4 linked regions of the Nothobranchius furzeri genome follow. The protein of the gene in region 1 purifies or fractionates together with the protein of each later gene. This does not show direct contact. Links are inferred from orthologs where the notes say so. Each region holds a gene or a part of one and is shown in the gene's direction. Other genes may lie near its edges. The genes, in order: foxj1b, cdk20, tbc1d32 and rfx3.

Evidence for each region.
Region 2: the proteins of foxj1b (region 1) and cdk20 purify together in Homo sapiens (affinity purification with mass spectrometry; 3 studies listed by BioGRID and IntAct, counting the BioPlex papers as one, with this or other methods). This does not show direct contact. The link is inferred for Nothobranchius furzeri from reciprocal best matches to the Homo sapiens genes FOXJ1 and CDK20.
Region 3: the proteins of foxj1b (region 1) and tbc1d32 purify together in Homo sapiens (affinity purification with mass spectrometry; 3 studies listed by BioGRID and IntAct, counting the BioPlex papers as one, with this or other methods). This does not show direct contact. The link is inferred for Nothobranchius furzeri from reciprocal best matches to the Homo sapiens genes FOXJ1 and TBC1D32.
Region 4: the proteins of foxj1b (region 1) and rfx3 purify together in Homo sapiens (affinity purification with mass spectrometry; 3 studies listed by BioGRID and IntAct, counting the BioPlex papers as one, with this or other methods). This does not show direct contact. The link is inferred for Nothobranchius furzeri from reciprocal best matches to the Homo sapiens genes FOXJ1 and RFX3.

Annotation. Positions count from the first base shown.
Region 1 is NC_091756.1:26,391,203-26,399,523, reverse strand, and holds the start of foxj1b (forkhead box protein J1-B), read left to right. Parts: upstream 1-4,230; 5' UTR 4,231-4,483; coding exon 4,484-5,056; intron 5,057-7,669; coding exon 7,670-8,321. UniProt on the Homo sapiens protein: Transcription factor specifically required for the formation of motile cilia. Acts by activating transcription of genes that mediate assembly of motile cilia, such as CFAP157.
Region 2 is NC_091755.1:47,132,372-47,140,390, reverse strand, and holds cdk20 (cyclin-dependent kinase 20), read left to right. Parts: upstream 1-3,670; 5' UTR 3,671-3,693; intron 3,694-3,996; coding exon of another isoform or gene 3,997-4,082; exon of another isoform or gene 4,083-4,260; intron 4,261-4,622; exon of another isoform or gene 4,623-5,128; intron 5,129-5,208; 5' UTR 5,209-5,243; coding exon 5,244-5,318; intron 5,319-5,409; coding exon 5,410-5,523; intron 5,524-5,952; coding exon 5,953-6,141; intron 6,142-6,341; coding exon 6,342-6,463; intron 6,464-6,693; coding exon 6,694-6,756; intron 6,757-6,873; coding exon 6,874-6,997; intron 6,998-7,179; coding exon 7,180-7,335; intron 7,336-7,419; coding exon 7,420-7,611; 3' UTR 7,612-7,692; downstream 7,693-8,019. Other genes in the region: protein UXT, read right to left, coding at 1,970-2,032, 2,298-2,361, 2,525-2,632, 2,771-2,838, 3,275-3,356, 3,997-4,082. UniProt on the Homo sapiens protein: Required for high-level Shh responses in the developing neural tube.
Region 3 is NC_091742.1:10,617,328-10,624,612, reverse strand, and holds part of tbc1d32 (protein broad-minded), read left to right. Parts: intron 1-3,283; coding exon 3,284-3,499; intron 3,500-7,285.
Region 4 is NC_091746.1:53,262,023-53,270,275, forward strand, and holds the start of rfx3 (transcription factor RFX3), read left to right. Parts: upstream 1-3,529; 5' UTR 3,530-3,698; intron 3,699-3,716; exon of another isoform or gene 3,717-6,554; intron 6,555-8,253. UniProt on the Homo sapiens protein: Transcription factor required for ciliogenesis and islet cell differentiation during endocrine pancreas development. Essential for the differentiation of nodal monocilia and left-right asymmetry specification during embryogenesis.

The DNA of each region.
Region 1 (8,321 bases):
GCTCGGCGTTAAATTAGGGTATTTCCAGAGGAAAAGTATATATGTCGATGGTTTAGACAAGACGATTCAAATAGTCACTACAAAACAAATAATACAAAATAGCTCTAGTTTTATCAAAATATATCCATGATTTGTCAGCTTTTAGGTCTTAAATACAAAATGTGATTATCTTCTTAAAATGCTTACATAATCCTCGAAATGCGTCTGAGACGATTATCGCCATTAATGCAACAACATCAAAATGTATCTGCTATCTTAAGAGACTGAGGTCAGTAAAGGTGACATACTAATATGGCACCCGTTTAATGTGCACAGCACGTGTAAATCGCGCACTGTGGATCTGAGCACGCGCTGCTCAGACTTGTGGTTAGTGCAAAATGTAAACATTGTAGTTTGTCACAGCTGTTAGAAGACTCAGAAAAGAGAGAAAGCATCGACACCTGCTGGTAGAAAGGAGAACTGCAGAACATGTTTACCAGTGAGAATGAAATCACAGAATAAAACCTTGGAGGTTTGGAACTTATTCCTGTCCTCTACACGTGGACATGGAGTTCCATACCTTATTATAATGAAGTAAACAAGGAGCAAAAATATTAAATGTTTTGTGATAATCTGTAGGACATTGTAGGCCATCTTCAGTGCAGGAATGCTCCATTTTTGTGTAAGTTATAGATTTTAGCAATGGTTATATCAAGTAATTTCTATCAATTCTAATGAATAAATCTTTAATTTATCAGAGAATTTAAGATCTTTAAAATTTTTGGAGAATTTTACCAACAATTTTAGTTTTGCAGATCATTGTTGCAGAAATCAATAAGAGGCTTGGCATTCCTTGAAACATATCAGAGTGTTTAATTGACATTTAATGATGACAAATTATAGTTTTAACACTGTGGGTCAGGTTTTGAGTGCAATGCATGATCTGTTAGCGCCTTCGGGATATGCATTGTGAATGACACAGAGTTAAAACCACAGCAAATCATAGTAAATCAAAGTCAAAGTCAGTTTAATTGTCACTTCTGCCACATGTACAGGACATACAGAGAAATGAAATTACGTTACTCTCAAACTCTCGCTAGATAGAAAATAAACATTTAGTATAAAAACAGTAACCAAGTTCAGAGAGACTGTGGGGGAAAAGAGAAGAGAGTTGGGAGAGCCAGGAGGGAGTTTAGCTTCCTAACGGCCTGATGGATAAAGCTGCCCTTCAGTCTGTTGGTCCTGGCCTTGAGACTCCGCAGTCTCCTCCCTGACGGCAGCAGCTCGAAGAGGCTTTGCATTGGGTGAGTGGGATCAGCCGCAATGCGAAGGGCCTTTTTTGTGAGGCGGGCACTGTAAATGTCTGGTATGGAGGGGAGAGAGACCCCAATGACCTTCTCTGTTGCTCTCACTATACGTTGGAGGGTTTTAATGCATGAAACGTTGCAGGCTCCGTACCACACAGTGATGCCGCACGACAGGATGCTCTCGATGGTGCCTCTGTAGAAAGTGTACAGGATGGGGGCTGGTGCTCTTGCTCTTCTTAGTTTGCGGAGGAAGAAGAGACGCTGCTGTGATTTCCTCGCCAATGCTATGGTGTTGTTCGTCCAGGAGAGATCCTCTGTAATGTGCACACCCAGGAACTTGGTGCTGCTCACTCTCTCCACAGACACACCGTTGATGGTCAGAGGAGCATGCTGAGTGTGTGCTCTCCTGAAGTCCACAACAATCTCCTTGGTCTTCACCACATTTAGAGAGAGGTTGTTGTCAGCACACCATGTGGTAAGGCGGCTCACCTCGGTCCTGTGTTCAGTCTCATCCCCGTTGTTTATGGGACCCACCACCGTTGTGTCATCCGCAAACTTGATGAAGAGGTTAGAGCTGTGCAATGGTGTACAGTCGTGGGTCAGCAGAGTAAAGAGGAGGGGGCTCAGCACACATCCCTGGGGGGCCCCCGTGTTTGAAATGATGGTGCTGGATGTGTTTCTGCCGACCCGTACTGCTTGTGGTCTTCCAGTGAGGAAGTCCAACAGCCAGTTACACAGTGAGGTGTTGAGACCCAGCTGGACCAGTTTTTGAGTAAGCTGTTGGGGGATGATGGTGTTGAATGCTGAACTAAAGTCTATGAACAGCATCCGGACATGTGAGTCTTTTTTGTCCAGATGTGTGAGTGCTGAGTGGAGTGCAGTGGAGATGGCATCATCGGTCGAGCGGTTGGGCCGGTATGCAAACTGGAAGGGGTCCAGGCAGGGGGGCAGAACAGACTTGATGTGTTGCATGACTAACCGTTCGAAGCACTTCATAAGGATGGGAGTAAGTGCAACAGGACGGTAGCCATTAAAGCAGGAGGGAGATGATGTTTTTGGGAAAACATCATGAGCGAGCATCATACGACACTGAGCTAACACAGCCAGTATCATTGAAAAGGCTGTGCTGTTATTCTGTTTACAGTGAAAGTGGGTTAGAGTTAACGTCTTCATCATCATTTATCCGGCACCTTCCACCACCTTGAGCAGAAGATCAAGGTGCTGAACAGAACAATAAAAAGCAGTTGCATTACTAAACACAATAAAAGATCAAAAAATAAAACACAATGAAAACAGATAAAAACAACAACAATGAAACAATTACGTTCAAGACAAAATTGCCTGGATATAATAACGGGTCTTCAGACATGACTTCAAAATTTGGAAGGAAGAATCAGCTCTTTTAAACTTTGCTCTGTACTGCACGGGAAGCCAGTGGAGTTCCGCCAACGCCGATGTAATATGGCCAAAAATCTAGCAGCTGAATTCTGAACCAGCTAGGCGAGTAATCGCACCCTGACTCAGACCCACATACATTGCATTGCAGTAGTCGAGTCTGGACAGGACAAAGGCATGAATGACAGACTTTGAATGCAGCTTGTGTTTACGATTTGTAGTGGAGTGTGTACTGACATCTGATAAGACTGACCAGGATGTTTAGATCTGCTCAAAAGTGACCAACAGCAGCCTCCTTTTCCATTCAGCCCATGAACTAGTCACCCTTCTTCCTTCAGGCAGAAGACTTGAGTTTCTTCAAAACAGAAACATTTTGAATGCCATTTATCTGAGTTGATTTTAAAGCTTCACACCCATCTAGATTGAAAGTTGGTGTCATTTTGCTAGGATCTGTCCTCTTATTTGATGAAAAAAATAGTCAAATGAGGAAAACAAAACAGACATTTTGTAGGTTGTGGGACTGTTTCAGGACAAGAAGTCAGAAGATGATGAGTTTTTTAAAAAATTTTATTGTAGAAATAACCCCTCACCAGATTTCTGTTAGCGCTTGGACTCTGGTGCAGCTGCAGTGTGGTATTAAATCCACATGGTGGCACTGTTTTCCCGTGATTAGCAGCATTTGATTGAGGCTCTTTAACACACCACTAAGTCCAACAACTGGCCAATACATACTTGTTTGGTAAAGCTGAATTGACTCATTGTGGTAAATATGTTAACAAAAACTGATTGTAATCTTGCACGTACGAGTTCTGCAACAAATGCCCAATTTATTAGAAAAGAAAACCTTTAAATGTTGTTTGATTGGCGTACTTGCACATCATTCTAAAACAAACTCAAATTTAAGTGGGGTGGTTTCAAACGGATTTAACAGAACGCTGTTGCTTTTGAGTCCTTCTTGCTGCGCATGTTGGTCAGAATTCAGGCGAGTTTAACCTCAAAAACTTTTATGCTGTACAGCCTGAGTATATTTGTTGTGAACACGACTTCTGCCTAAATCGCGGCCCCTCTGTGAATTGAATGAGATTTAAAAAAAATGACGCATAAGCTTGCTCAGCTGTTTTTTGTTTGCAGACGCAGAGTGGGACATGTGGCGCGTCTTCTAGCGCCAGCTTTACGCGCGCCATGAGCTCATATTTCAGCCCGTTTCCAATCCGAATCACAGATATAAAAACAAAGAAGTAATTCGTACAAGAAAGCGCACCACCCTTGAAAGTTTAACATTTAGAAGTAAAACAAAGACAGGAGGATGGAGGTAATTAAAATAGAGTAGACAGCCACACACACACACACACACACACACACACACACACACACACACACACACACACACACACACACACACACACACACGCAGGAGATCCCCGTCGCATGAGTGCTCCTAAGTGTCTCCTTTCTTTTTCTTGTATTTAAACCCCCTCCTCTTCCATATGCGCTGGCTGCGCCTCGCCCTCCCCCCACCGCACTTGTTGCGCACAAACTAGATGCGCTGCTGAGTCCTTGGAGAGGAGAGACAGGGAAGAACAGCAACAGGTGTACACAGAGCATCTCCGCCAGCCACGCGCCAGGAGGAGAGCGTTACCGCGTCGCTTGTCGGGGGATGAATGCAAATGTATTATCTCTGGTGGTTTAACTGAAGTCAGAACGGTTGTTTAATTCATAAACTTTTATTTTCTGCTCTTTTTTTAAATTTAAATGTCAGTCTAAAGACCCTTCAAGGCTACAGCGCGTGCGTAAATTCCAGGATGCCAGTTTTGACGAGCCCAGATATAGCCAACAAGTTCAAAGAGAGGTGGCTCGCGGTGTTCCCGGAGGATCAGGTCTTGGACTCCGCTCCCCTGGACGACAGTCTCACCAGTCTCCACTGGCTCCAGAATTTCTCAATCATCAGCACGGACCCGGAGCGACCCAACGCCGCCGGACCCGGATGCCCTTCCTCGCTACAGCACCACTTCCTGAGACGTCTGGGCTTCCCCAGAACGGGCACTGACTCTCCTTCTAGCCCACCGGCCGGAGACACAGCCGCCAGCGGGATGTCTCTGCACCCCGGGAGCCCCTTCACGTCCGGTAGCGACTCCCAGCGGTTCCCGAACTGCGCGCACCCAACACCCGGCTATCCGCAGATCCCGCTCCAGACAAGCCCGCAGGTGGAAGTGGACTACAAAACTAACCCTAAAGTTAAACCACCGTACTCCTACGCCTCTCTCATATGCATGGCCATGCAGGCCAGCAAACAGCCTAAAGTGACTCTGTCCACCATCTACAACTGGATCACAGAGAATTTCTGCTACTACAGACACGCTGAGCCCAGCTGGCAGGTAACCGAGACCGGATACGTCCCTCTTTATAATTTATGAGGCTGATAATGCTGAGGTGAGGGAGGGAAGGCAGAGCAATTGACTCCAGTGTCACCATCACACACATCTTCCTTAAGCCAGGCAGAGTTACCCTAACAAAGATAAAATCAGGCTTCTGCCTCTGTCCAAGGCTTAGGCTTCACATTTGATCGGTTCTATCATTTAAAGTGACCCTCAGATCTCTTACCTGATGAACATGTGAACAGCCTCTGTTCAAAGAAACAGAGACAAGTTTTGATCTTTGAAAATCTAACAGCCTGTCACATTTGGTAGGTTATAATATTATTGCAGCCATGAAAAAAATCTTTAAAACGCTGGTTTATGCTGCCAGTGTCTTGGAAACCTTACACCATGACACTCAGTTATTTACATCACAGTATTTAGTTTTCACACCAGAGCATTCCTTGTCAGACTTTTACATTTCTGCCAGCATAATTGATAAGGATTGACAAGGGTTGATAAACGGACATGATGACGAGGTGAAAATGCCCTCACACAATTAAAGCTGTTTTAGGATGACATGTAACTGGATTCACTCTAACCCCATCGGGTCAGAATTAGACTCTTTATTCTCCAAGTTGAAGTTGTTGAAAAGGTATGTAGTTTTCTGAATAATCTTTCCATAGTTCAAAAGGTCGAACTAGCCCTTTAAATTCATATTCTTTACAAAATATGGCAGTTGGACAAAAGAATATATTTAAGAAACAATCATTTTAGTTGTTATTTGCAGAACTGTAGCTCACAGATGACAACACGGTCTAAAATACACAAAGTTTGGGTCAAAAGCATTTATGAGACGAAGTAATTGGCTCACATGGCATAATTTAGAGGTTATTAGCATTGGGTGGTAATTTTAAAGGAATGCATTAAAAGCTGTCATGTTTAGTCAAATCAGTCAGACAATAAAAGAAGGTGTGAACATTCATAAACTATGACTTGGCCAAACATTTACACATACATCCTCGTATTATTGCTAAATCTAAATAACTAGAGTCTATATTTAGATAGTTACATATAGCTGTTGAAATATGAAAACAGTTATTTTAAATAGAAAACATGTCAATTCAAACTGCAGTAAGTGTTTTCTCTGACTGCACCATCTAGAGGCTGAAAAATGGATCACAATTTCAGTTGGAAGCAACGCCCCTCATTCGTGGACACACACCTAGATGGCCAATAGAGCTAAAAACCCTTTTTTTTACAGTTATTATTCTCACATCATGCTGTTTAAATAATAACTATTCCATGAGAAAAGTAGTCAACTTTGACATATATGTAAGCGGATGTCTAACACTATTAGCTAATACTGAGCAGCGTAAATTCAAAATAGCATGGGGCTCTATGGGATGGGGACAAGCTTAGCAAAAAAAAAAAAAATATATATATATGACGAAATACAAAAAAACAAAAAAAAAACACACACACACAACAGTAAAAAGGGAGCCTGAGTCTCCTCCCTTTCCGGTCAGCTCACGGGTCCCTGGGAGAACGAAAAAAAGAATGCAAGTCAATGAGGCTAAAAACGCTATTTTCTAATCCGCTTTGCCCTACACCCTGGACCGCACATATGTTGAACTTAGATTTAAATGAAAAGTAACGATGGGTTTTTCGACCACGCCAGTCATGTACTTTGAGATATACCAGCTTGTAGAAGTTCGTAATTAGTATGACTACAAATTAGACATCGGCATGCTGCACAAATGACGTTACGACAGAATATCTTCTCCCCTAGCGTAGCTGCTACTTACCACATGGCCAGATTTGTGGTGGTTCTTTCTTCCTGAAGGAAGGATTGGAAGTTCACTAAACTTACGGCCATTTTCCCAGTTTTTCTCCGTGTCTGGTTCGATGACGTCACTTTCGTAAAGCGCATTTGTAGTCCTGGACTTATTTTCACACAAAACCTAAAATAACATTTCCCCCCATTGGAAAATAAGCGTGTTCTTGCTATCAAAATGTGTCTTTAAAATTCACAGACATCATATGTGAAATCCATGGAGCAAAACAAGCGGAATTAGAAAATAGCGTTTTTAGCCCCAATTCATTTTTTTGTTCTTCTGGGGACCCATGATGCGGTAGATGGGCATGACTTAGGCTCCCTTTAGGGCCGGATACATGACAGCATACCCCAGAAAAGTGCTTTGCCCTCTGTTGTCCTGGCAGGGAATTGCTTTGCAACACTCTCCAGGGGACGGGGAAGTCTGAGAGCAAAACGTCTGCATCAATGCATGTGCGTCTCTCCCTCGTGGAGCTGATGCAGAAGCCTAAACTAGGCTTAACCCAGCAGTTTCAGTGCGAGTTCTGATGTGTGTGTGTGTGTGTGTGTGTGTGTACATGTGTGTTAATGAGGGCTCCTGAGAGAGATGCAGCTAAGCACAGCTGATCGTGTTTGAAATGCACAGAGCTGCCTGTTACTAGAAAGCCTCATTAGGCACATTTGCTTTTCTATACAAACAACAACAATGCCCCCAACGCCCACTCTGCTGTCTCCCTGACAAATTGGCATTTTTAGTTCTCGCATGACTGCCTTGTTTTGTCCATGTTTAATCATCTCTTTTTCTTGTCTTGACACAGAACTCGATTCGTCACAACCTGTCCCTCAACAAGTGTTTCAAGAAGGTCCCCAGGCAGAAGGACGAGCCAGGGAAGGGAGGCTTCTGGCAGATTGATCCGCAGTATGCCGACATGTTTGTCAATGGCATCTTCAAACGTCGAAGGATGTCCGCTAACCAGTACAGCAACAGCAGTGCCTCCCAAAGACCAAATAAACTGGTTCCAAGTTACGACAGCATCCAAGACACCTGCTCTTTTCCGGGAGTGGGCAGCAAACGAAAGCATCTACCCTCTAAAAGCAACAAGCCAGTCAGAGCCACCGAGTCCCCTCTTCTAGTGATGGAAGCTAACAAAATGGACCTCCTCAAGGGGGACTTTGACTTGGCATCTGTGTTCGACGACGTTCTGAGCGGGAACTGCAGCACCTTTGAGGACTTAGACATCAACACGGCGCTCAGCTCCCTGGGCTGTGAGATGGAGGTTTCCATTCATGGGAGGCAGCACCCCGCGGGACTGGGGAGGTGGTGTGGAGCAGGTGATGTAATGAGTCCGAGCCAGCACATCAGCCACCATCAGTCCTACGGCTACCTGGACCTGAGTGCTGCTTCCATGGAGTGCTCGGTGAGCATGGGAGAGCTCCATGCATCCCAGCAGCATCCGCTGCTGAGGCAGC
Region 2 (8,019 bases), on another chromosome or scaffold:
TTTAAGGAATGATTCTAGCTCCAATCCAGGTCTGGAACTGTTTGAAAAACTCAACACGTTGTTCAGACCAGGTGCTGATCCAGTCACAGATTAACAGATCTATCCAGATGGGAATTATTCAGTACAATTTGGGATTGCGCCCTTCAAACTACATTCAGGCTCTCTGGGAGAGGAAATCACACCGAAGAACCAACTGACCCGACGGGACTCCACACTGGCAAACATGTCTTATTGCTCACAAAACATTGGTAAACCCCTGGTTAGAGCAGATGTTAGTGAGCAGGGAACCCCAAAAACGTCTCTCAAAACCAACTCCATCAGAATGATTCAAACGTGACTTTTAGGCTTTTATTTTGAAGAGAAATTGTTGCACACTGTTTTGGATTTCCAGGTTTTCTTTAAACTTGATGGAGTGCTGTTTCTGCGGTAACAGGATGGAGACGTCATCGCTGCAATATATGATGTCAATTATTGCTGCTGCCGAAGAGCCGCAGAGCAAGGTATTGAGCCTTTTCAAAATAAGACCACATCTCGTTGAAGGACGAAAATAAAACCCAGAAACGAGAAGGATGAAGCAGCATTCATGTGAGGCTCATCAGAGGAACATCTGGGCCACGTCTGCTCCTCACCCATCACATCACATCTGGGCAGAAGTTCAACCCAGGAAGGAATAAATGAATGGATAAATAAATTATTCAATTAAATAATCCCCCCTCAAACGAAACACCTCTAAAATAAATATTTATGAAGACCGTAAAAGAAGACATTTTATTATGAAAGGAATAGCATTATAATTTCAAGCGTTCAAATTATTTTATAACATGAAAGTAAATTAATAACAAGTGAAAAGTTTAGAAAATCAGACTTTTTAAAATTCCAAAACCAGGAAGATATGAACTCTATAAGCAAAGATGAAGCAAACTTGATGAATGTCAGACACATCATCACAAATAACATTAATAATAATAATATTAGTCATTGCTGCTGTTGTTGTGCAGGTAGAGGTACTTATCAGAATAAAAGGACTCATTCCCAGACGTGTTTCTGTGTTTCAGGGAAATAAAAGCTGGATTCTGGATCCGAGCAGCAAACTGAACACAAAAGATGCTCCTTTCTTTCTCTGATTCAGTTTCAAGAGTCTCTCAGCACCTCTATTCGGCAGCTCGTTGTCATGGAAACAGGCTCTGCGTCGTCGAGCTTCTGTGCGAGCAGCTGATATTCATCACACCGGATGAAGGTCGTGAAAGCTGACGAGCTCGTGCAGCTGACCACCCGTCAGCCTCACAGAGCTAACACGTGCTGGTCACGCATGACTCTTCGAGCACGTTCCCGTTCTTCCAACGCAACAAACCCGCTAAACGTCTCAGCGTTCCTCAGGAACATTCCGACAAATTCCTTTCAAAAGTTTATATTTGGTTTTGAGAGACAAATAAACCATAACACCGGGAAAAGATCTTAAAAATAACAAAAAAAGTTCACTTTAAATCTAAATCAGCTTGTTCAAAAAGACAAATAACACTTTTTAGGTCTAAAAATATTATTTATTATAAGAAGAATGTGTGAATGATTTTATTCATCAGGAAATGAAATGTTGGCAAATAAACAACCAACAACTTTTACCCATTTAAGCCTAAAATATATGATATTATTTTATTACAATAAATCCCAGAAAGAACTAAAGTAGAACTACATCCAATAAAAAATATACACAAAAACTAAAGTTTGACATAAATAAAACAAATCCAAACTAAAAACCTCATTATTAATAAAATATGAATGAAAAAATGAAAATACATGAACTTCAGTTTAGTATTTTAATCAGGAAAGACTCATGACTGCTGTGATGTTCTTCAAACATCTGAGGAGACCTTCGTCCTGCTGTCCACAAAGCTCCTCCCAGGAAGAGGAGTTTCCTCCTCCCCCGGAGGTCCAGCCCCAGCAGCACCTGCTGCCCAGAACCAGGAAAAGTCTAGAAGACGTCTCTTCTTTGGCTCTCGGGAAGGTCGGTGAGTCCCTGCAGCTCCCGCAAACCCTGAAGGCAGAGGAAGAAGATAGCAGCCAATCAGACACCTCATCTGGAGGATCAGGGTTCTCCGTGGTTCCACGATGAACACATCTGATTTTAGAGGAGAACGTCCCTCTCCATCAGCACCAACTCACCTCGACGCTACCGGACCGGCTCTACTTCAGATCTTACCGAGTCTCTGACTCGCTTTGACTTATAGAAGATCAAACACTCAGCAGAAAAACTCAAATCAAATATTAAAGAGCTTCAGATCATAGACATAATAACTGACCTCAAGGACCATGCGGATGTTGGCTTTTATTTTGGCGGCGTCTTTAGTGAGTTGCTCTGTGAAGCTGCAAAACAAGCGTTAGCATGGTTAGCATCTTTGGTTCCGAACATTGAGCTAACACAGCACTCGTTCAAACTCCCTCAACTTTATTTAGAACTAGATCTCAGCTCGACAAAAATGAGACGTGTGACAAAAAGTTTGTGTTGTCACGGCAACACAGAGCTCACACTGTCAGCTGACTCGTCTTCTTGGTGATGAACTGCAGAGCTTCATCGTGGGTCATTTCCACGAAGAACCCGAAACCGACCGCCACGAAGATCCTGGACGAGTCGTCTCTGTCCAAAGGAGGGGAACAACGGGTCAGAACCGGGACCAAACACAACCAAACTGCTCAGAACCAGAACCAAACATCTAAAAGAGGTTAAATGTCTGTGGAGGGAGGAGCTGGACACTCTAGAGAGACAGACACTCACACTTGAGCCTGAACATAGAAGCTGCAGCCCAGATCGACGTCTGTCTTCAGCTGCTGGGACTCCGCCTCCTGCAAGAACACGGAGTGACATAACCGCAACGTCATCATCATGATATAAACATATATAAATATATACACACACACAAAATTCTATCACAAACAAACAGGCGTTTCTGATTGACAGCACGAGGCCTAAAGAGCTCAGGTTACTGGTCTGTTGTTGGATCGGGCCTGAACAGAACTCCTGATCCAGAACACACAGCTCCGCTGGATTTTCATCAGCAGTTAAAAGGTTTCCAGAGATTAAAACATGGCGGATGTTAGCTGAAAATATTTCAAACAACTGAAAAAAATCCTAGAGGAGGCCCTATGATCCTCCCAGAGTGATGCCTCCCTCCTTAAAATCTCTCTCTCTCTCTCTCTCTCACACACACACACACACATACACACACACACACACACGCACGCACGCACACACACACACACACACACACACACACACTACCTGCAGACTCTGGATCGTGTTCTTCAGCTGCAGGTACTGGGAGATCTTCTCATAAACCTGGTCTCTCTGCTCCAACACCTTCCTGTCAAACAGAACACCTTCATCAGTGTGTGTGTGTGTGTGTGTGTGTGTGTGTGTGTGTGAGGTGTCAAAATAGAGTATTTGAAATGAGTTTGCAATCATTTTCTGACTGTTCTATTGGATAAGAACCACACCAGGGATCCGTGGTTCTCCAGGACCCACTCTCTGGTTCTCCTTCACTGGATCTTTTTGGTTGGTTCTGATTCCACAGACCAGAACATCATCCGACTCTGTGGACTCACCACCGCAGTTTGACTTTTGTTCTGGTCGCTCAGATGAAGCGTCAACTTCTCTAGCCGGATAGACCCCGCCCTCTGGGGGGCTGCCATGGTAACCAGGTACCAGTCACTGGTCATAGTGATTGTCACAAATGTGTTTAATACAACTTTATGATTTACGTTTAAAGAACTTAACCTGTACTATAATGATCGTGTCTGTAGAGACATAAACATCGCATCAAAACTTAACCGGAAACTGCTTAGATTCATCAGAACCCAGCACCAACTTTTATTTACCTGCTTCAAGCTAGAGCTACCAACCCTGCCCTAACTAAACCAGGATCTGTGAAACTACTCAGAATTCAAAACCAAACAGAGGAGCAGAGCTGAGAAACTAAATCAACTATACGAGTTAAATCGTACCGTAAATCTCTCTTCAGAACCTCGTTGATGAACGTTTCGTACTGCAGAACCTTCCGGTCCACGTTTTCAGCGACAGGTTCCTCCATGCAGCTTTTCAGATTAATAACAACAATAATAACTTCATGCGGATTAATTCAGTTCAGATGAATTTCTGCTCAATGTAAATTAACCGTTTCGGACACAAAAACGTGCCGTTAGCACAGCTAGCATGCCAAGCTAGCATGTAAATAATTCTTTACACCGGAACTAAATCATTGAGTGCCCCCAAATTTTCAAAATAAAGCATGTAGACATAAAACAGATAGATGCATTAGACGAAGACGCTCCAGACTGATTATATATATATATATATATATATATATATATATATATATATATATATATCAAGACTCAAGACAACTTTATTAGTCCCCGAGGGGCAATTCGAGACAGCATTGTGAAGCAGCCGGCACTAAAATCTCTAAATTCTAAAAACACATCCAAATTACACATTTGTAAAACCCATAAAACCTATATACACATTCATGTCATAACCCCATACATATATATTTATATATATATATATATATATATATATATAATTTATTTATTTAATTTTCACTTCTGACTGACATGTGAGTCTTTTCTAGCTGATTTGGATCTGTGTCGTGACTTCCGTTGTCACGTGACCGTAGCTAACGCAGCTCTTGTCTGAAACAAAACGTTTTCAAACGTTTCAGGCCCGAAAACCGGATCTCCTCGCCGCGCTTTCAGGCTTGAACGACTATCAGGAAACATTTCTGCTCGAATTGAAATTATTTCGACGGTTTCATTAAGCCATAGGAGCTAACTTAGCTTAGTGGTGACGTTACCATGGCAACACGAGTTAGCATCCTCTGTAAAATTCGGATCCAATTGAAATCGAGCTGATTTATGTATAATCTCAGAACCCGAATAAAACTTACGACCTTTATTTCAGTTATCGTTCCGTAATATTTCAGAAACGTTGGTGTTTTATTGAACTGAAACGCGCAAAATCGTAAACGGCGTCTTTTGTACACGGAGCTTTGTTTCCGGTCTGAATTCTGGCTCCTGTCGGTCAGCTGGAGGAGGTAAAAGAAGCTCTGGGAGGTGTTTTCTTTCTCAAAAAGAGGTCACCTATATCTTATTTAGTTTAATGTTACAGCTTGAAGTTTTAATGTGGAATCAGATGAAAAATTGGTCTTCCTGCAGAAATCAGCAGACCGGATCAGGTTCTTGTCCCAGACATGGAGCAGTACAGCATCCAGGGTCGGATCGGAGAAGGAGCTCACGGCATTGTGTTCAAGGCCAAACACATTGAGGTACCGATAGCAAAAGATCCAGCCTCTGGGTCTGGTTCCAGGTGCAGAGCAGTTCCTCCTCAGAATGTTCGTCTTGTGCCTTTTCTCTCAGACAGGAGAGACGGTGGCTCTGAAGAAAGTGGCTCTGAGGAGGCTGGAAGACGGCATCCCGAACCAGGCTCTGAGGGAGATCAAGGCCCTGCAGGAGATTGAGGACAACCAGTATGTGAGTGTCCCTCCAGCTGCTTCTGCCCAGTTCAGAGGACAGCGAGGTGTCAGACCTGATGCTACTGAAATGCCACAAACTGGTGTTCGTGATGGTGTCAGAACCACAGTCCTGAATCCACCTGATCTGCAGGCCATTCCTCACAAAGCTATTTGCCAAATTAACAGATTTCCATGATTTTACGTTCTCTATTCCTCCTTCTGAGGAGACGAGGAGGAGCATCACAGAGATCTGGGGGGCTGGTAAGTGCCTGGTTGCCCAGATCTGCTGTTGGTTTTAAGTCTGAGCAGAAATCTGGTTCCATTACAGCACCACACCTGGTGGACCCTCGGTGCTCAGCTTCAGCTGCTTTGATAAAAAAAACCTGCAGATGTTTTGTTGGGAATGATTCAATCTTCCTTTTGGGAACGTTGTCCTGAACTCTTCCAGGTTGTGAAGCTGAAGGACGTCTTTCCCCACGGGACGGGCTTTGTTCTGGTCTTTGACTTCATGCTGTCGGACCTCTCTGAGGTCATCAGGAACCACCAGCGACCTCTGACCCCGGCACAGGTCAAGGGGTACATGATGATGCTGCTAAAGGGCGTGGCCTTCCTGCATCGCAATAACATCATGCACCGGGTGAGTGCACTGCTCACACACACGCACACACACACACACACACACACACACACACACACACACACACACACACACACACACACACACACACACACACACACACACACACAGTCCACGGCCCATAAGGGTTTGTGATTCTGGTTCTGGTGTGTGTGTGTGTGTGTGTGTGTGTGTGTGTGTGTGTGTGTGTGTGTGTGTAGGACCTGAAGCCAGCTAACCTGCTCATCAGCTCCTCGGGTCACCTAAAGATCGCCGATTTCGGTCTCGCCAGGCTGTTCAGCGATCAAGGCGAGAGGCTTTACAGCCACCAGGTGGCCACCAGGTAAGCACAAGCTCCGCCCCTTTTTCACAGCTCGGTCACACAAAAAATTTGTTGATTGAAGATGAAAATTAAAATTTTTGATCTGCAGGAAATAGAGAAAAAAATTGTTTTGTCTTGTGTGTGTGTGTGTGTGTGTGTATGTGTGTGTGTGTGTGTGTGTGTGTGTGTGTGTGTGTGTGTGTGTGTGTATGTGTGTGTGTGTGTGTGTGTGTGTGTGTGTGTGTTTTCAGGTGGTACCGAGCTCCTGAGCTGCTCTACGGAGCCCGGAAGTACGATGAAGGAGTGGATCTGTGGTGAGAGTGAAACCCTGCTGCTGGTGCTATTGCTGCCTTGCTCAGGGGCTGAGTCCACAGTGACAGTGCTGTGAGCTGAGCAGCAGAGGGCAGCGCTCACGCCTCTCTGTGTTTCAGGGCTGTCGGGTGTATTTTCGGGGAGCTGCTGAACTCGTCTCCTCTGTTTCCTGGAGAAAACGACATCGAGCAGCTGTGTTGCGTCCTCAGAGTTCTGGGAACGCCGACCCGGGACAGCTGGCCTGTAAGACATGTCCCATATAACAGTTACTCCCAACAGAACCAGGTCTGCAGGCTCCCATCGTCCGTTGGCTCAGGGTCCACCATACCAGATACGATGTAGACAAGCTGCACTTTTGTTGGTTGGCTCTAACGGCGTCAGCTGCCAGGTGAGACTAGAACCGGGTTTTTGTTCTCCATCTGCAGGAGATCGCTGAGCTTCCAGATTACAATAAAATCACCTTCAAGGAGAATCCAGCCATCCCATTGGAGGAGATTGTTCCAGACACGCCCCCTCAGGCCATCGACCTGCTGTACAGGTTCCTGGTGTACCCGTCCAGACAGCGCTGTTCCGCCAAACAGGTAGGACTCGTGCAGAGGACGTAGCAAAGGGACAGGTGTACCTGATCAGTAACTGATGGTGATGTTTGGCTCCTCCCCCTGCAGGCTCTTCTTCATCCATATTTCTTCACCCCTCCTCTTCCTGCTCACCACTCGGAGCTTCCCATTCCTCACAGGGGGGGCCACCCCCCTCGCCAGCGTCATCAGGCTCCGCCCACTGATTTCTCTTTAGACATGCCCCTGCAGAAGAGCGTGGTGGACCCTTTGCTGCTGCAGCCTCACGCCTCCTGTCTCTGAAACAGACGAGTCTGAACTTTTGCATTTAACCGAAGTGAAGAAGAAGAATAAACATTTCTATTTAAGACCTGGAAAATTTTATTGCCGTTTCTTGTTCTTCCTGTCTGTTTACACATGCGTGTGTTCTGGGTCTGATCTGGGAGCTCCTCTCAGTGAGGAGGAGGAACAGGTGGTGGATCTCCTCACCTGATCTCTAATCATCAGAACAACAGAACTTCAGCTCCTCGTTCCTTTGGTTCTGATCCAGATCTTCCTTGTTTCTGTAGTAAAACCGATCTTGTAACAAAGAGCTGATTCGGATCATAAAAAACCTGAAAACGTGGGCTAAGGGTTTGTGGGAGGAGCCAGACTACCCCTCCTTCTCCTGATGCCCCTCCTCTTCCTCCTGGTGACCCCCAACCCCTTCCC
Region 3 (7,285 bases), on another chromosome or scaffold:
GGGTTCATGGTTGGAGAACTTTCCTTCTGAAGAAGTTTTTTTTATAGTGAAGTCATCTAATCAGAACCTCCCAGAACCTGTAACAGCCCATCAGAATCTCACCGTAAAAGAAACGCCTCTAATGAATGTAGCTGACTGGGCAGAGTAGGCTGAGGCTATACGCTAGTAAAAGTAGCAGTACTTAAATACGTTTTACTCAGGTAGAAGTGCCCATGAAAACATCTACTTTGATGTCAGGAAGAGACTAAAATCTTTACAGAAATACTTTGTTGTTATGACCCAGAAATGTAAAATGAAGACTAACCAGATCTGATGTTGGAAAAAAGACTAAAAAGTAGTTTTTACAAAGTCATTTCTTTTTGATCTTCACTCCTCTTAGATGAGGCTCTTCACCTCGAAGCTTTTGTGTTTTGATCCTGTGTCGACATTCTACAACGTACGGGGTTAACCTGCCGTCTCTAGGGCTCAGCGACACAGTCAGATGTTTTATCTGACAGAGCAGCAGCTCACCTCCTCCTGAACAACACCTGGAGGACTTATGGAGTTTGGGTTAAGGACTTCAAACTTCATTAGCCAATTAAAAACCTTTATTATAGCGACAGGACTGTTTCCCTGCCTCTGATATTTAACAGTTCCTCCAAACCCTGGATGCTTGCCGTGTTGTTTTGTCCTTGTAGGATGACTTCCTGGCTCCTCCCACTCAGGTTGGAGGTCTTTGTGGAGCTCTGAGGTTTTTGCAGGCGTTTGGAGTTTTCATTACAGGATAAACGTGCAGTAGAGGTGTCTGCTGTAGAGTTTATCACATTATCCACCAACAGGATCCACATTTCAATCAGGTCTCTCTGAGAGGCTCAGAGTTTCTCTCAGCGGGTCTCTCCTCAATTTACAAGTCAGGACTGTGAAGTGAGAGTCGCCACGGGCGAGTGGAGCCTCCGCTGTGGGTCAGATGGTGTAGGAGATACACATGGAGCCATCTGGGCTGAGAAGTGACAGGATTAGTTGTTCTTCCTCCTGTAGGGACTCAGGTGAGAGCTGACTGCTCTTGACCTTTTAGCCACGGTTCAACTCTTGCACATGTTTAAAAACATAACAGTTATATTTTACAGTCTAGGTGTTCAGTTAACACCTCCTGCTTGTTTATTTAATGAAGATGGATGATCAGAATCATTGAATTGTGACCTGGGCCCTCATTTATCAACCTTACTTACAAGCAGATCTGTGCTTATTTCGTGCGTGGGAACAATTTAACGCGTTGTGTGGTATTTACCGGTTTGTATGTGTGCGTGAACATGTCTGACCGTGCGTAGGAACAGCCTCTAGTGGTAGAACAGGGGAACAGCAGTACTGGAGGTCTCAGTCACCCACAGATTATATTTACCCAGTATGTAGTTACGTCGGTGGAAAAACCAATAAGACACCTGTGACCGACGGGAGTCTGACATCATATCTGGGCTGTTCTGTGTTATTTGAGGATTTATCAGAACGTGTTCTCCACGAGCGCACTGATCTCAAAGCAAATCCTTCTGCTCTGCTGGGGTTCAGGACTATTTGTGGAGCACGAATGTGGATCCAGGGAACCCCCAGAAGCTCTTCTGTTCTCCGTTGCCAAGGTAACCAGACTAAATGGCCACTGTGAAGAGGCTTCAGTCTCGGACATTAACAAATAAAACTAACTCCAAACAGAGCCCGACGAAACAAATCCATCTTTAAAATTGTAATTCTGACGGGAACCTCTGCATCTTAGTTCTTTTGTGCTTTGGCAGCCACTGTTTCAATCTCGCTGTCAATAAAAGCTTTCATATTTTTGATTCCCTCACGAGCTGACGACGTAGCGTGACCAAATATGGTCAATTGAGGGTGTTTCTGACAGAACGATACGAGCACCTGGGTACGCACGGGTGGGATTTCAGACGATTGTGGAGGAACGTGCGTTTCATAAATCAGTCTTTTGACCGTTCGTACACATTCTAAATGTCGGTCGTAGGAGGGAATATAGGACAGTTTCAACGAACGTTTGATAAATGAGGGCCCAGGTGTCATGCTAATATGTCACGTGGATTATAAATCTGATTTATTGTAACATTTGTTGCTGCTGAGGTCTTCAAGTGTTCTCGGGGTACTCTGGATCCTCCTCAGTCTAATCAGTTATGTTGGGTAATTTTATTAATCCAGGATTCCCTTAGGGGGTTATAGTAATCAATCGATCAACACCAATACCAATTCATAAACAATCAATTTAGACTTTGCAAAGTGGAGAGGAAAAGATACACACCAGACAACGGTCGCCATTTCACTCTCATCAGACAGAGTCCTTCGAAAGCATTTATTAAGCACACACACACACAAAAGATTGACACACACACATTTTGACATTTCTTAGACTCTCAGGCAGAAAGCTGTAAAAAAGGGAGACTAAGCTTTCTCCAGGTGCACCCTAAATCAACAAAGCAGTTCCTGGACTTTCTCAAGGGAGTTTTACTGATAAAGGTCGGTTCCAAGGCTAGGTCATCCTCCTAAAACCTACTCCTCCCTGTAAGACCTGCGGGGGCCTGTTATCTATCAACCGAGTAAAATGAATTGATGAAGCTACGTTTAAAAAGACACCAGATATTTAACAGTCAAGGCATTAATATCAGTTCAATACTGTTAGTATCAGTTTTTATCTAACAGGTTGTCTCAGATTTAAACTGGTTTTAGAATGAGTTTGTTGGTTCGGTACCTGAAACGTGTTCCCAGAGATGCTCCAGAACACATTCTGTATGTTATGAGCTGACCTGGTCCAATATTATTATTGGCTCCTGAATGGGAGACCAAAAGGTCGGTCCCATCAAACGGGCGTGTTGTTTGTCAGCAGCACGGAGTCAGTCGTTTCCTGTTTTTATGACAACACAAATTAGGATGTCAGGATTTTCATTAGAGCTCAGCTACAGAGGCTGCTGATGATTTAACGTGTTTATGGAGCGCGAGTGATGCGAGTGTGTGAGCTGGCTGGCTAATTAAGTAGAAGCAGGAGCTGTTTTGTTTGTTTGGGCGTGAACCTCGGTGGTGTTGTGGTGATCTGAGCTCCATCTTTGGATCAGAGTTGGACAAATGTCCTAAAGTCAGTGATTCCTCTCTGCAGTTCTGGCTCTTTTCACTCAGATTTTTGGTCATTAGAGGCAGAAGCAAATATTGTTTGTGTCCCCTAATCCCAGCTCAATATCACTGACTGCTGGTGTTTATTCTCCAACATCACACGGTGTGAATAGTTCTGAAGGTCTTAACAACTTTTATCTGATCCCAGATGTGCCTCCACTGGCTGACTCAGTGCTTCTGGAACTACCTGGACTGGACAGAGATCTGCCACTACATCTGTACCTGTGTGCTGATGGGTCCAGATTACCAGGTTTACCTGTGCGTGGCCGTGCTCAAACACCTGCAGCCAGACATCCTGCAGCACACTCAGTCACAGGAGCTGCAGGTCTTCCTGAAGGTCAGCCTCAGTCCGGCATGGTTTTATGTGAGTGAGATGTTTAACTGGATTGTCCTACAGGGTTACTCCTGTGGGACAAGAAGCTGCATTCATCTATTAGATTTACTGAAATTATGGTGAATCTTCTTGAATTAAAGGTCAGTGGTGCCCCGCCCTGGTCCTCTCTCCAGAAGGTTTCTCTACTTTTATTTAACCCTCCCCCGCGAGGAAAGTTGACCATTGAACAGGGTTGAGGGTTTACCCCTTGAGGTCCATGTGGCAGGGGTGAGGAGTGAGCACCACCTCACCCCTGCCACATGGACCTCAAGGGATAAACCATCAACCCTGCTCAATGGTCAACTTTCCTCACGGGGTCACCCATTAGGACAGTGGGAGGGTTAAATCAGGGGTGTTGGTGCACAGCCCCTGTAGAGGACCAGGGTGGGGCACCACTGCTCTACGTTCTGTTCAGGTTGATCTGTTTTGTTTTTACTGTCAATTAGAGAAAATCCACAATAAATCCAAACTTGTAGATGGTAAAATGATTCCACCAGGAGGAGGTCTTAGATGAAGAAACCATAGGAGCAGGTATGCCTAACTTTCATTCACAAGTTCTTCTCTGGATCTGAGACAAAAACATGAAGGAGCATGGATGTAGGAGGAGTTTATTGATGCATCATGACATCATCTTTGCAGCTAACAGCTCAGTCCTCAGAGGAAAGGCTAACACTAGCTTCATCACCTGGTGCTTAGAGTTCATCTGTTGACCTCAGCTCCTCAGATGGTCACAGGCTTATTAATGGAGCACAGATACATTGATGTTTAACTTCAGTATTATTAATCACACTGGAGTTGCTAGCGGTGGTGTGTCTGTTGTAGCAGCTAAAATCCTGAGGATGGGAGTCTGGTTTTGATTATTCTTTGATCAGAATGAGTTAAACTGATCTCAAACATTTTAAACTACAAGCTGAAACTTTTTTTTTTTCCCCCACATCTTGGTCATTTAAAGATTTCAGTACCTAGAGGGCCGGTATCCACATGTTCTCTGCTCCAGCGGTGGAACCACCTGCTGGATATTGGCCCTCCAGGCCTGGTCTACAGTCTTTAATACCAGTTTTGACTTTTACATTACAACCTGATTAGTTAAAAACATCTAAAGTGCATGAAACTGGGAAAAAAAACGTGTAAGAATTCTGCTTGTAGTTTAGAAGTTTGAACTTGTTCTGATGCAGAAATGATGGAAAATCCAGATGAGTCAGATTTGACCTCAGAATTTCTGCTGCAACAACAAAAACAAAACTATTTTTAAGTGACTTAATGAAGCATAATTTAAAAGAATAACAGAGACTGATGGAGGAACATATTCTGTACTTCCTGGTTCATGTGTGCAGGTAATCATATCAACTTATCTGTGCTCCATTGATAGGCCTATGACTTGATCTGTGAAGGTGAAGGACTTTACTGTGGCCCTCCTGGGCCACCGTCCTGCAACAAAACAGATCAATAACTTTTTTTGCAGAAGTCTGCTGATCTCAGATCTGGTGCGTTGAGATGTGTTCTCCTGTGGAAAACTGTCTCGCCTTCATGTTGCCTTGGTAACATGGGACAGTCCTACCCTATAAGTACCAGGATGTTCCACTGAGAACAAACATCTTGTAAGGTTTAATGTGTGTGAGGCTGTCTCTAACAGAGTTCTGTAGTTTTTACATCGACACAAAGGAGCTTTATTCACCTTCCCACCGTGCCTTACTCTCTGTGCTCCACCCAGACACCACCTGCTGCAGCATCAGGACCCATTTACCTCCACCATGAGCCGAGTAGGCTTATTTAAACAGTGACATGATGGTTTTTCACTAAATTAGTTTGACTGGCATCAGATTAAAGATATTTGTTGTTGGTTATTTATTAGCTGTTATTCACTATAAAGTAGAATGCGTTCATGGAAACAGCCGTGTTCCAGGTACCTGATGATAGCTTTTCCACGCACTACAAAAATGGACATTATGGCTTTCCCTTTATTACTGTGGGAAGTTCTGCTGGGATTACGGGACATTTTAGCTGGGAAGGTGACTAATCAGGCTTTAATAAAGATTAGCTCTGGAATAATTAGTTTTACTTCTTATCTCCTTTTGGGTGTTGCTGTTCCTGTCACACTAACAGTGGGGGCCTGTTACAGTAAACAACCTGGATGTTTCAGGAAGACTCCATCAGACAAGAACAATTATCTACTTGATATAGTCTAATTGTAGTAAAATAAGTCTGAACTTAAGGGGTCTGTGGCATTAACGTTGAAAACATCTGTTTGAGTCTTTATCTAAAGTTTCTCTAACGAGCTGTAGCTTCATCGCGCCTCCCTGGCTCCAACGGTTCTGCCTGCAAAGGAATCAAGTGAAATTTTTCACCCAGACGATGTGGTTTCTGTTCTTCTGCTTCATTCATCCCGTCTCCCTGGGGGTGCATCTATATTTCACCTAAATTAACATTTTAAAGGGGAAATGACTTGTTACAGTTGGTGTGAATCCAACCACAGTTACAATGAAGGTTTTATGTCCTCCACTGACCCAGAGGCCACGTCAAACCACCATGTTTTAGTCTGGACCACATGAGTAGTGTAAAGTAAAAGGAGACATTCTTATGCTAACGTGTTTATGTTTAGGTAAATATTAGACTCACTGTTAAGGGCAGGAGTATCTTTGCTAATCAACCATCTGTTTAACAGACAGGTTATATAAATATATTTAAATGATTGCTTTTAAATTAACAGCTTTAAAAACTAAATGATCAATGCAATAAGATAAATAACATGTTGGCCTGGTTTGTTTGAATCTTATTTCAGAAATGTGACAAAGCACGAACCAGACTCAGCTGCTGAAAACACTAAAACCATGAAGAAACTTAACCTTCCAATAAAAATGTTGGATGCTTATTTCATATTTGATGATAATAATATGTAGCGTACCAAAAGGTCAAGTATTTCTTCAAAATGACCAAAAACTTGCAGGCACAATCTGCGTCACACATCCTGTCTGTCTGGTCTCCAGACCAGAAAGCTACAGCTCAGTGACCTTGTTATCTAATAAGGGAGCCATTATAAGTCCTTCCCCTAGCTCCCTTACGTTTGCTGGAACCCCAAGGTCTCATGCAGAAGACGAGACTCTTACTCTCTGAATAAAGTTTATCTTTCTCATCATAAAATCATCTCATTTGTTAAAATCCAAAGTTTTTGATTAATGTATTCCTATACTTTACATTAATCAATGATGGTTTTCGCTCTCTCTCGCGCTCTCTGATGGATTTTAATGTCTGGTTTATAGGTGATGCCAGGTATAAATGAAAATTAAAAACTAGGGCAGAAACTCATCCTGCAGAGTTTGGAGTACTTTAGAGTTTTTCTTGCTCTAACGCACCTGATCCAACAGCTGATTGGAAGGTAGGGCTTCTGAAGGACCAGAGCTGGACACCACTGGTCTAGCGATGGGTTCAGCAGGAGGACATCATTTCCTTCATCTGCAAATGAATAGAAAACGGCATAGTTGGAGGGCAATTGTCAGCAGAAACAGGTCTAACATGAATGTATCAATGAAACTTGGTCAGATCTACATGTATTTAAGTAATTTATGGTTAACTTTCTGCAGTAAGACTAGAGTTTGTTTTCATTTCCTACATGTTGCTGTTTGGCCTCAAACTGATGACAGAAACCCATCGTCTTCAATCATCACAGCATAAACAAACACCCCCCCCCCCCACCTAAAATACTGTGATTAGTTTCTCCTCCACTCTCCGCCCATTCATCTTGTGATGACAACCTTACCAAAGATAGAAATCAACAGTAAT
Region 4 (8,253 bases), on another chromosome or scaffold:
GGGGGTGACTTGCTCTTTAAATTATTTGGTGATTCCACAAAAAATGGAATGAACTCCAGTTCCTTCACAATTATAAATGGGAGAAAACAATAAATGGGAGAAAACAGCAAGAAAAGTTACTGATTGCTATATTAAAAGGTGTTGAACACTTGTTTAATCTAAATCTTTGCAGTGGTCTCTGGTAGGAATTAATGCCTTGCAAGTCGTACTCTTGGCAAAAAGAAAAGCCCGGAAGCACCTGGATCAGCTAGGACAAGTCTGCTGCAGCAGAGAACAGGATTTGGAGACTAATTTCTTGATATTTGGGCACCTTGCCTGAAACTACAGCAACACGACTCTGTTTGCTCTGCAACATAAATGTTTTATCTCCACAAACAACACAAGCCTGGTGGAGTTTTTCTGTGTGGTGGAGTTGCTCATGCTAAAGATTAGCTTCTACTAGTCTGGATATTCTCTGCTGTTCCCTGGAATCTAAACCAACAACAGCCTTCCTCGTCACAAGCCAAGATGGATGAGTCCAAGCGACCACTTGATAAAGATCTGTCAGGCTTTTCAAATTCCAGAGTTTCACCATCTATTTTCTATCAGAAGCTAATGCAGGAGATAGGTGTAGGAGACTATTGAGACTATTTTCCATGTTCAGGCTGCATGTTAAACTCAGAGTGACTGATTATAATCAGAAACAATCCTTAAAAAATGGGGTTTCAGTGTTCCACGCCTTTAAAGCTTAGCTGGGACTTTGAAAAGTAGCTTCATAAAACCTAAAATAAGAAAATAAAATTGTTTAAACTGCTGAACTTAGTTGTGCCAGAAACAATTAGCCAACTTTGCTCTTTTTTATTTTTTACACGTATAAAAGAATTTAAGTTGGCACCAGCCCTCCACTTATATAAAACTAAAAACCGTTTCACTTGAAAAGATTTCTTTTAACCAGAGAGTTCAGCTTCAGATGGATTTCACCAGTTGCCTAGCAACAGCGACAACAGCTTTTCCAAAAAGCATCTGTTTAGTAACTGCTAATCAAATAAAAAATAAAAAGTACTGTGCAGCGGACACAGGTGGTTGGATAGGCTCTGCGCTCGGTGTGAGGCCACTTAACAACACTCCCTTTGTTTGGTCACTGTTCTCACTCTTAAAGTTCTTGCATGTATTTTCTGATCTACTTGTGCCATGTGGCAAATTATTTCAACCTATAGCACCTGCATGCATATTTTTAGGAACATTCAACACTTTCTGTACTAAATGTCATTGCCACACACACACAGGTCCAAGTCACTCAATTAGGGCTGCAGTATTTATGGAAATAAACAGTTGAAGGGAACACTTCATTTTAAGGGGAATCCACCAACTGTGTGCTTTAAATAAATGAGACGATGCAGGCTGAGAAACAAAACCTCCAATGCTAAAGCGGAATTGCCCATGAAGGCAAATGTCTTTGCGAATTATGGTAGAAATGGAGGAACAATTGAGAACAGTGACAACCTGTATCAATTAAATCATCAGCCGTGCTGAATGACACATACTGGGTCTTCCTTGTGCACATTCCTGGTTAGGTGCTCACACACAGTGTAGTGTACGACAGGCAATCATTCACTCAGATTTTACTTAAAGTGACATCCCACCAATTTCTGCTTCCTTTTCATCCACCCAGAGTGCTTTTGTGTTATCCTGTCACACAGGAAGGGAAAATGCAGAGTCTGATCTTGACTGAGACAGAACAGTAGGTGACAATTATCAAATCTAATTTGCAAAAAAAGATGCATTTAAAGTATGAATGTATTTAGGTTTATGTTAGATTTTCAAAGATAATTGCATTGCCTTGACTAATGCTTTCTACTCAGCACTTCAAAGAGTTTAATAACACTTCAGTTGTAAATATATAAAAGCCATTTTACTGTGTAAAACATCCAATAAAAACAAATATATCAGGACATTAATCCTCTCAGGCTCAAATTAAGTTTTGATAAAAGGACCAACAACTAAGTCCTTCAGGCGTACTTCTGAGTTAAAAAATGCTGATGAAATACGTATGTGGGGTAACCAGGTAGGTAGGTTTTAACGTTGCAAACTTGCAACACCATGCCTCCTGAGGGTTAAAAAAACATTAAGAAGGGTGAGAACTGGTTAGAATCTTGTTTTAGGGGAAGAGTTCCCCATTCTCAGGGAAGGTTCCACACCAGGGGTCACCAACCTGGTGCCCCAGGAACCATATAAGGTGCCCACAGGCCTTTTCTCCAAATAGAACAAGTTTGAAACAAAATAGAACTCTGCTGCCACCTGTTTCAATGGAACGGCAGTAGCTCCAGAGGTAGAGTCAGTTGTCCAGTAATCGGAAGGTCGCAGGCCGATCAAAATTCGACAACGGATTACGAAAGAATGGATAATGCTTGAAACATGCAGATTCTTTGTGGAGTAAGAGGTGAGTCTACTCTTTCTTTTGTTAGTTCTGGCGTTGATATCATCCTAGCACGCAATGTTCTGTAACTCTTAAAAAAACATTGAAAACGCTGAAAAACGCTGGCAGCGCAGGGCTTTTCTGATCAAAAAATGGCTGGCAGTTCATGAATTAAGTCACTGCTTCCTTGACGTTCCAAGTGCTCTGACCTGGGCCAGCATCACGACTGTTGGGTGCTGATTGGCTAAGTCACTGGTTGTTCCAGAGCTTTATGCCTGCAGCCATTTCCTGGTTCAGACTCTGAGCATTTTTGTGCTAAGTTGTGTTTCATACAGTTCACCTCATGCTGTTTACTGATTGTATCATGCTATTTTTGTCTTGAGTAAAGATAAGGTTTCTGTTGGCCAGTCATAGGTAAGATATCCAAATATCAGGAAATAAGACTCCATATCCTGCCACTTTCTCCTCTAGCTGACTTCTACATCCTCAAAATGGCGCACCAGAGCTTTTTTCCCAGAAAATTGATTGCAAGGCATTAATTCCTACTGTAGACCACTGCAAATGTATTAAAGCTATGAGTAAAGTTGACCTTTAATGCCTATGCTCTGCTCTCATCAGGGGTCCAAACTTTCTGTCATGGTGGCACTGGCCCCCCTTGGAACCCCCCACCCCACCGCCCCGGTGGAGGCAATTTTTTCCTTGTAAATTACAAAACTATCAATTTATATCACATACTTACAACGGTTACATGTTCTCTAATAACAAAACACACTTGTAACCTTGTCAGTCCTCAGAATAAGACAGTTTTTATGCCCTATAATAAAAGTAAGAAAACTAAAAACAAAATTATTCACCCAATAAAATTAAGATTTTTGTTTAAAACCCATTTAAATAAACTGTTTTGTTAATAATTGGCAAATCACAACAATCTCTTCTGTAAGATTTGATTTTCTAGGTTTTTTTTACGCCAAACAATTTTAAAGTCTCTATAAAGTCTAAACTAGATCAGGCCAAAAAGCCGTGACTTCGGGTGTTAACGGACAGCCATGGACACATGTTTAGTTTTTTTTTTTAATCGGGTTGATTATATTTCTTCAGATGAATATGTGCGCCTAAATCTCCTCCCACCTGCCTGGTAAGAAGGTTGAGCGCTGCAGATGAGTTTTATAGCAACTGTTGCCCAGTGAGGCAACGCCATAGTCACCGTAGTCCTGGCGACTGTAACCCACCAACAACAACCTCTGGCTCCATCATTACCACCTCCTCCAACATCCTCATCTTCATCAACCAGTCCGCAGCTCAGGTTTGGCTCAACTCTTCGCTGTTTTTAGCCCGAATGCAAGCGCTTTCTCCTCTGACAAGATGAGAGGGGTTTATGCGGGAGGTTTGCTTCTGGTTTGTGTTTTGTCTGCTGCTGGGTTGAAGGCTCTAGCGAGGGTGTTTCTTTGTAACGTGTTAGCCTGCTTTGCTAAGGTTCCTTGTGGGAACTCGTTATGAGAAGAGCTCCTGCTTTGCTAGCAGAGATAAGCTATACGGAAATAAGGAACGCTGCGGAGCTAAAACGACTTGTAAAAGTGTTTCTATTATTGAACATGTTTTGTAGTTTTAACTTTCCACGCTGTGGTAGCAGAGCTGCCGGCTAGTCAGCGTTGCTAACTGGTCAGCTGGAGCAGGTGTCTGTTGTTGCTAACGCCAGCGATGCCTCCTGACAATGCCTGTTGGTATCCTGTTTTTTTTGGGAGGCAACGTCAACGCTGATGTTGCAAGTTTGTGTTTCGATGTGTAGGAAATCTGGTCGGTTACAGAAAATCTGTACGGCTGTTGGCAAATGGAAAGTGTCGTAAGCTAGCCCTGCACTCACTCACTGGTTGACAATAGCTAAGCCATTACTTTCCCTTTTGTCTTTTGCTACAAGATAGCTTCGCTAGCTCTCCATCTGCCCTCTTTGTGGCATCAGATGGCTGTGATAAGCTTTCAGATAACACCACACTAAGTTCTGCAGCTCGGAGAAAATAGTTCTGAGTGAGCTAACATTTTCAATTTGGATAAAGGTTGTGTTTAGTGGAATCATTTAGGGTTCTGAGTGGCACATCCTGGAAATGGGCTGGTAAACGTCATTGCACCCCGTCGAGTTATTTACTTTTTAAGATTTGTTAAATTGACATTTTTTCTAAAACTATTAAAACAAGTTCAGACCTAATGAGAGAATTAGTTTAAATGGTTGCCTATTCATTTTACATATGTATAAGGAGAAAGGATTTCTTAACAGGTGGATTTTTAATTTTTTATGGAATTTTAAACATAATTTCTGTCAGGCAGATTTGTTGTATACCTATTCTTCCCAACAGTATAACAGCCCGGCATTTAGGGGTGCTTTAATTCTGTTGGTGCTCCATTTAAAATTGGTTTCTCTGTGTTGCATCACATTTTATTCTTAGGTCCACTGGGTCTCATGTTCACCTGCAACCTCTGAATCCCATTTGGGAAGAAAGCAGGTGTGTGTGTGTGTGTGTGTGTGTGTGTGTGAGGGGAAGGGGTAGGTGGGGACTTAGGATGTCCTGATTTATCTTCAAGAGCAAAAGGTTATTGTTCAGTAAAAAAAAAAAGGTACAGGTAAACTTCATAATTCCTTTTTTCTTATAGTGTTTTAGGTGTTGTATAATAATTTGTGAATCCAACCCAGCTGGACCCAACAGCGCCACAGCACATCATCTCCACTGGATCAACATAAAGCTGCATAATCTGAGCACATTATGGTGTTATATACTAAAATCATTTAGATCTGTTCACATGTACAAGCTAAATGAGGTCATCTTGATCACACACACACACACACACACACACACACACACACACACACACACACACACACACACACACACACACACACACACACACACACACACACACACACACACACACACACACACACACACACACAAAAGTGGATGTTAGGAGCTGGCAGCTATCAGATCAGGTTTCCACTTACCTGTGGTCCAGAAGGGCAGAAATAGTACCATGCCACCTGCTACCTGGATCCTGTTGCATTTCCAATCACTTAAAGAGGGGCTGATTAATTCAATTATTCTGTCGGCCATTTTCCTGGCTTTAGCAGCATGTTTGGTTTGTAATTTATCACAGCCATCCTGCTGTAATGTTAATGAAATAATGGTCTTTTTAAAGGTGATTACTTCTTTTTATTATCACTTCCTACTCCTGGTTATTGAAATGAGCAGAAGGCCTGTGGTAACCAGTGATTTCTGACACTTTTCATTAGCTTCACCTGTATAAACAGATGAGATGTTCAACAGTCTCATGGGATCTTTTATAAATGCAAAGTTTTTGACTGTGAAATCAGCATTACTGGTGCTCACGATGGAAGTCAGTCCCTCTTTCCTTTGTAATCGTAACCACCCCCCCTCCTCCTTCTCCCCCTACACAAACACAGTTCTTTGCATACCCTCCACCTCCTCAGCTCCCAATTAGATTTCCCTCCACCTGTTTTCCTGCCACCTGATCAAACCACCAAGAACAAGAAAAGAATTTCTCTCGACCGCAATCAGTCTTGTTCACTCTCGCGTATGCCTTTACTCTATACATTACACGTCCAACTTTGTCATTACGGAGGAAAATTATAGTGTTCTGTGGTTTCCGTTAGCGGCTGCTGTGAGCCTCGTGAGCTCCAGGATTGTGTGGCCTGGTATGCTAGCAGGAAGAAAACTCAGGGTGCAGTGTTGCGCTCCTTGGTGGCTTTTGTTCCTTCGTGTCTTTGTAGGGCTCACACTTGCTCAGTGGAGCACGGCGTTTAAGTGGGCCACAAGGGAGCGTCTGAATGGTGTGTGTGTGTGTGTGTGTGTGTGTGTGTGTGTGTGTGTGTGTGTGTGTGTGTGTGTGTGTGTGTGTGTGTGTGTGTGTGTGTGTGTGTGTGTGTGTGTGTGTGTGTGTGTGTGTGTGTGTGTGTTTGTCATTGTGAAGGGGGGGTTGAGGTGATGCTGGGGGTTCTTTTCCCCAATTAGGTAGGCTCGGTTGGGGCCCTTTGCTTTAGCTTGCTAACTGCTTTGTGGAATACACGCGGAATATTCCACATTCTTCACTTCCTGTAAGACTTCTCAGGATGAAGGAAATGGAGCGCTACAGGTTCATTATGAGGCATATCATGGTACGCAAAAACTTTTTTGAAAATACAAATATGTGTGCTGAATATTAGTGGTTTTATTTTTCCTTTAAAAGACGGAGGGTTGCCTTTTGGGACACTAAATTAATTTGCTTTCCAAAACGGGAATGTGTAAGGAAAAAATCCATCTTTTCCCACCTCTTGTTGTCGCGTTGACCCTATTGTGGCCAGGTTCGATTTAGTTACCCCAACATGAATAAGGTGATAGCCTGGAAAATGGACAGTTTGAAGGTAATGGAAAGGGGCACGTCGTCCCCGGAGTGATTTGAAGCTCTAAGGAGCACCAGCTTAATTAACCAAGAGAGGCTTGTTCATGGAAACTGATGAGGAGGAGCTGGCCTTTCCCTGGAAGCAATGGGTGATGGGAGCCACACTGTTATTAACTCACAAATATAGGTTAAGTCTTTCCTCTCACTCTTGTCGTTTTCTTTTCAAATTTGCTCCATTAGGTCAGGATCTTACATATTCTGTGTTTATATATTGCTTAAATATTTTTGTAAAAATCAAAGAAAATGATAAGCAATTCTTTGGAGGACTTATTTAAATTCCAGCTGCGGGGCCTTCTGTTAAAAGAGCAACAGCAAGAGGACCGGTAGAGAAACGAGAATCTATTTAGAGTTTGTTAAATATTAACTTGTTTTATGGCAGCAAATGTGGAGACAAGAGTGTGTGTCAGTGATGCATGAGGCTCTCGGTACACCGAGTGCCACGGGGTGGAAACAGGTGCTCAGGTACTGTTGGTCTAAAGCTGCTTTAGTGGCATTGATTTGGGCAAAACATACACAGGTTTATGATGACACCTCGCACTTCCTGTTGTCCCTAGAATAGTCTCTCCTTTAGCTGCTTTATCTGTCCACAGCAAGCCAAAGTGTGGATAGTTGGACAAAGATGTTGTGTGTTATGTGAATTTCATTCATCAAGTTTGCATTTGATTAAAAACCAAGTTCACTTAGAAACCATTTTTTTCCTTGTTATTTTTTAAATGTGATTGGCCATTCTGACTCTAACATGCAAGCTTAACATGAAAATAGTCTTCTACCCAAATATCCTGTGTTAGCTGCTGATGGGGATCGCATGGATTAGAAAAGCCACGAAGATCTAAGTTGCACTGAATTAGCATTCACAAACTCGCCCATCTTCTCTCACGACGGGGAAGTGTCCAGGAGAAAGCATGGCACGCCTCAGCTAGTAGAAGCTAACCGTTAGCGTTAGCAACTCCACAACATGGCAGAACTCCTTCGGGATTGTGTTGTTTGTGGAGATAAAACATCAACGTTGCAGAGCAAACAGAGGCAGTGGTAGAGTCATGTTGCTGCTAGCCAATCAGAGGTGAGATGTCAGAATATTAATGAATAAGACTCCATATCCTGCCATTTTCTGCTCCCCTCTCCTCCGGTTAACTTGTCATTTTTAAACCGGAGCACTATATATTTTTTCCACAGAAATGGACTCGCAAGGCATTCATTTATACTAGAGACAGCAAACGCGTTGAAGAAAACATGTGAATGAGGGCTTTAATAAGTAGAGATTTTTGTCACATAAAATCAGACTATTTGGATTTTGTTAGCAGCAGTTTCTGGTGAAAGACAGATCAATAAATGCTTAAATGTGTCAACAGCTTTTGATTTAGCATCAGTTTTGGTTTCTGCCTGAGCTTCTGCTGTGGTTAATATGAGATAATAAA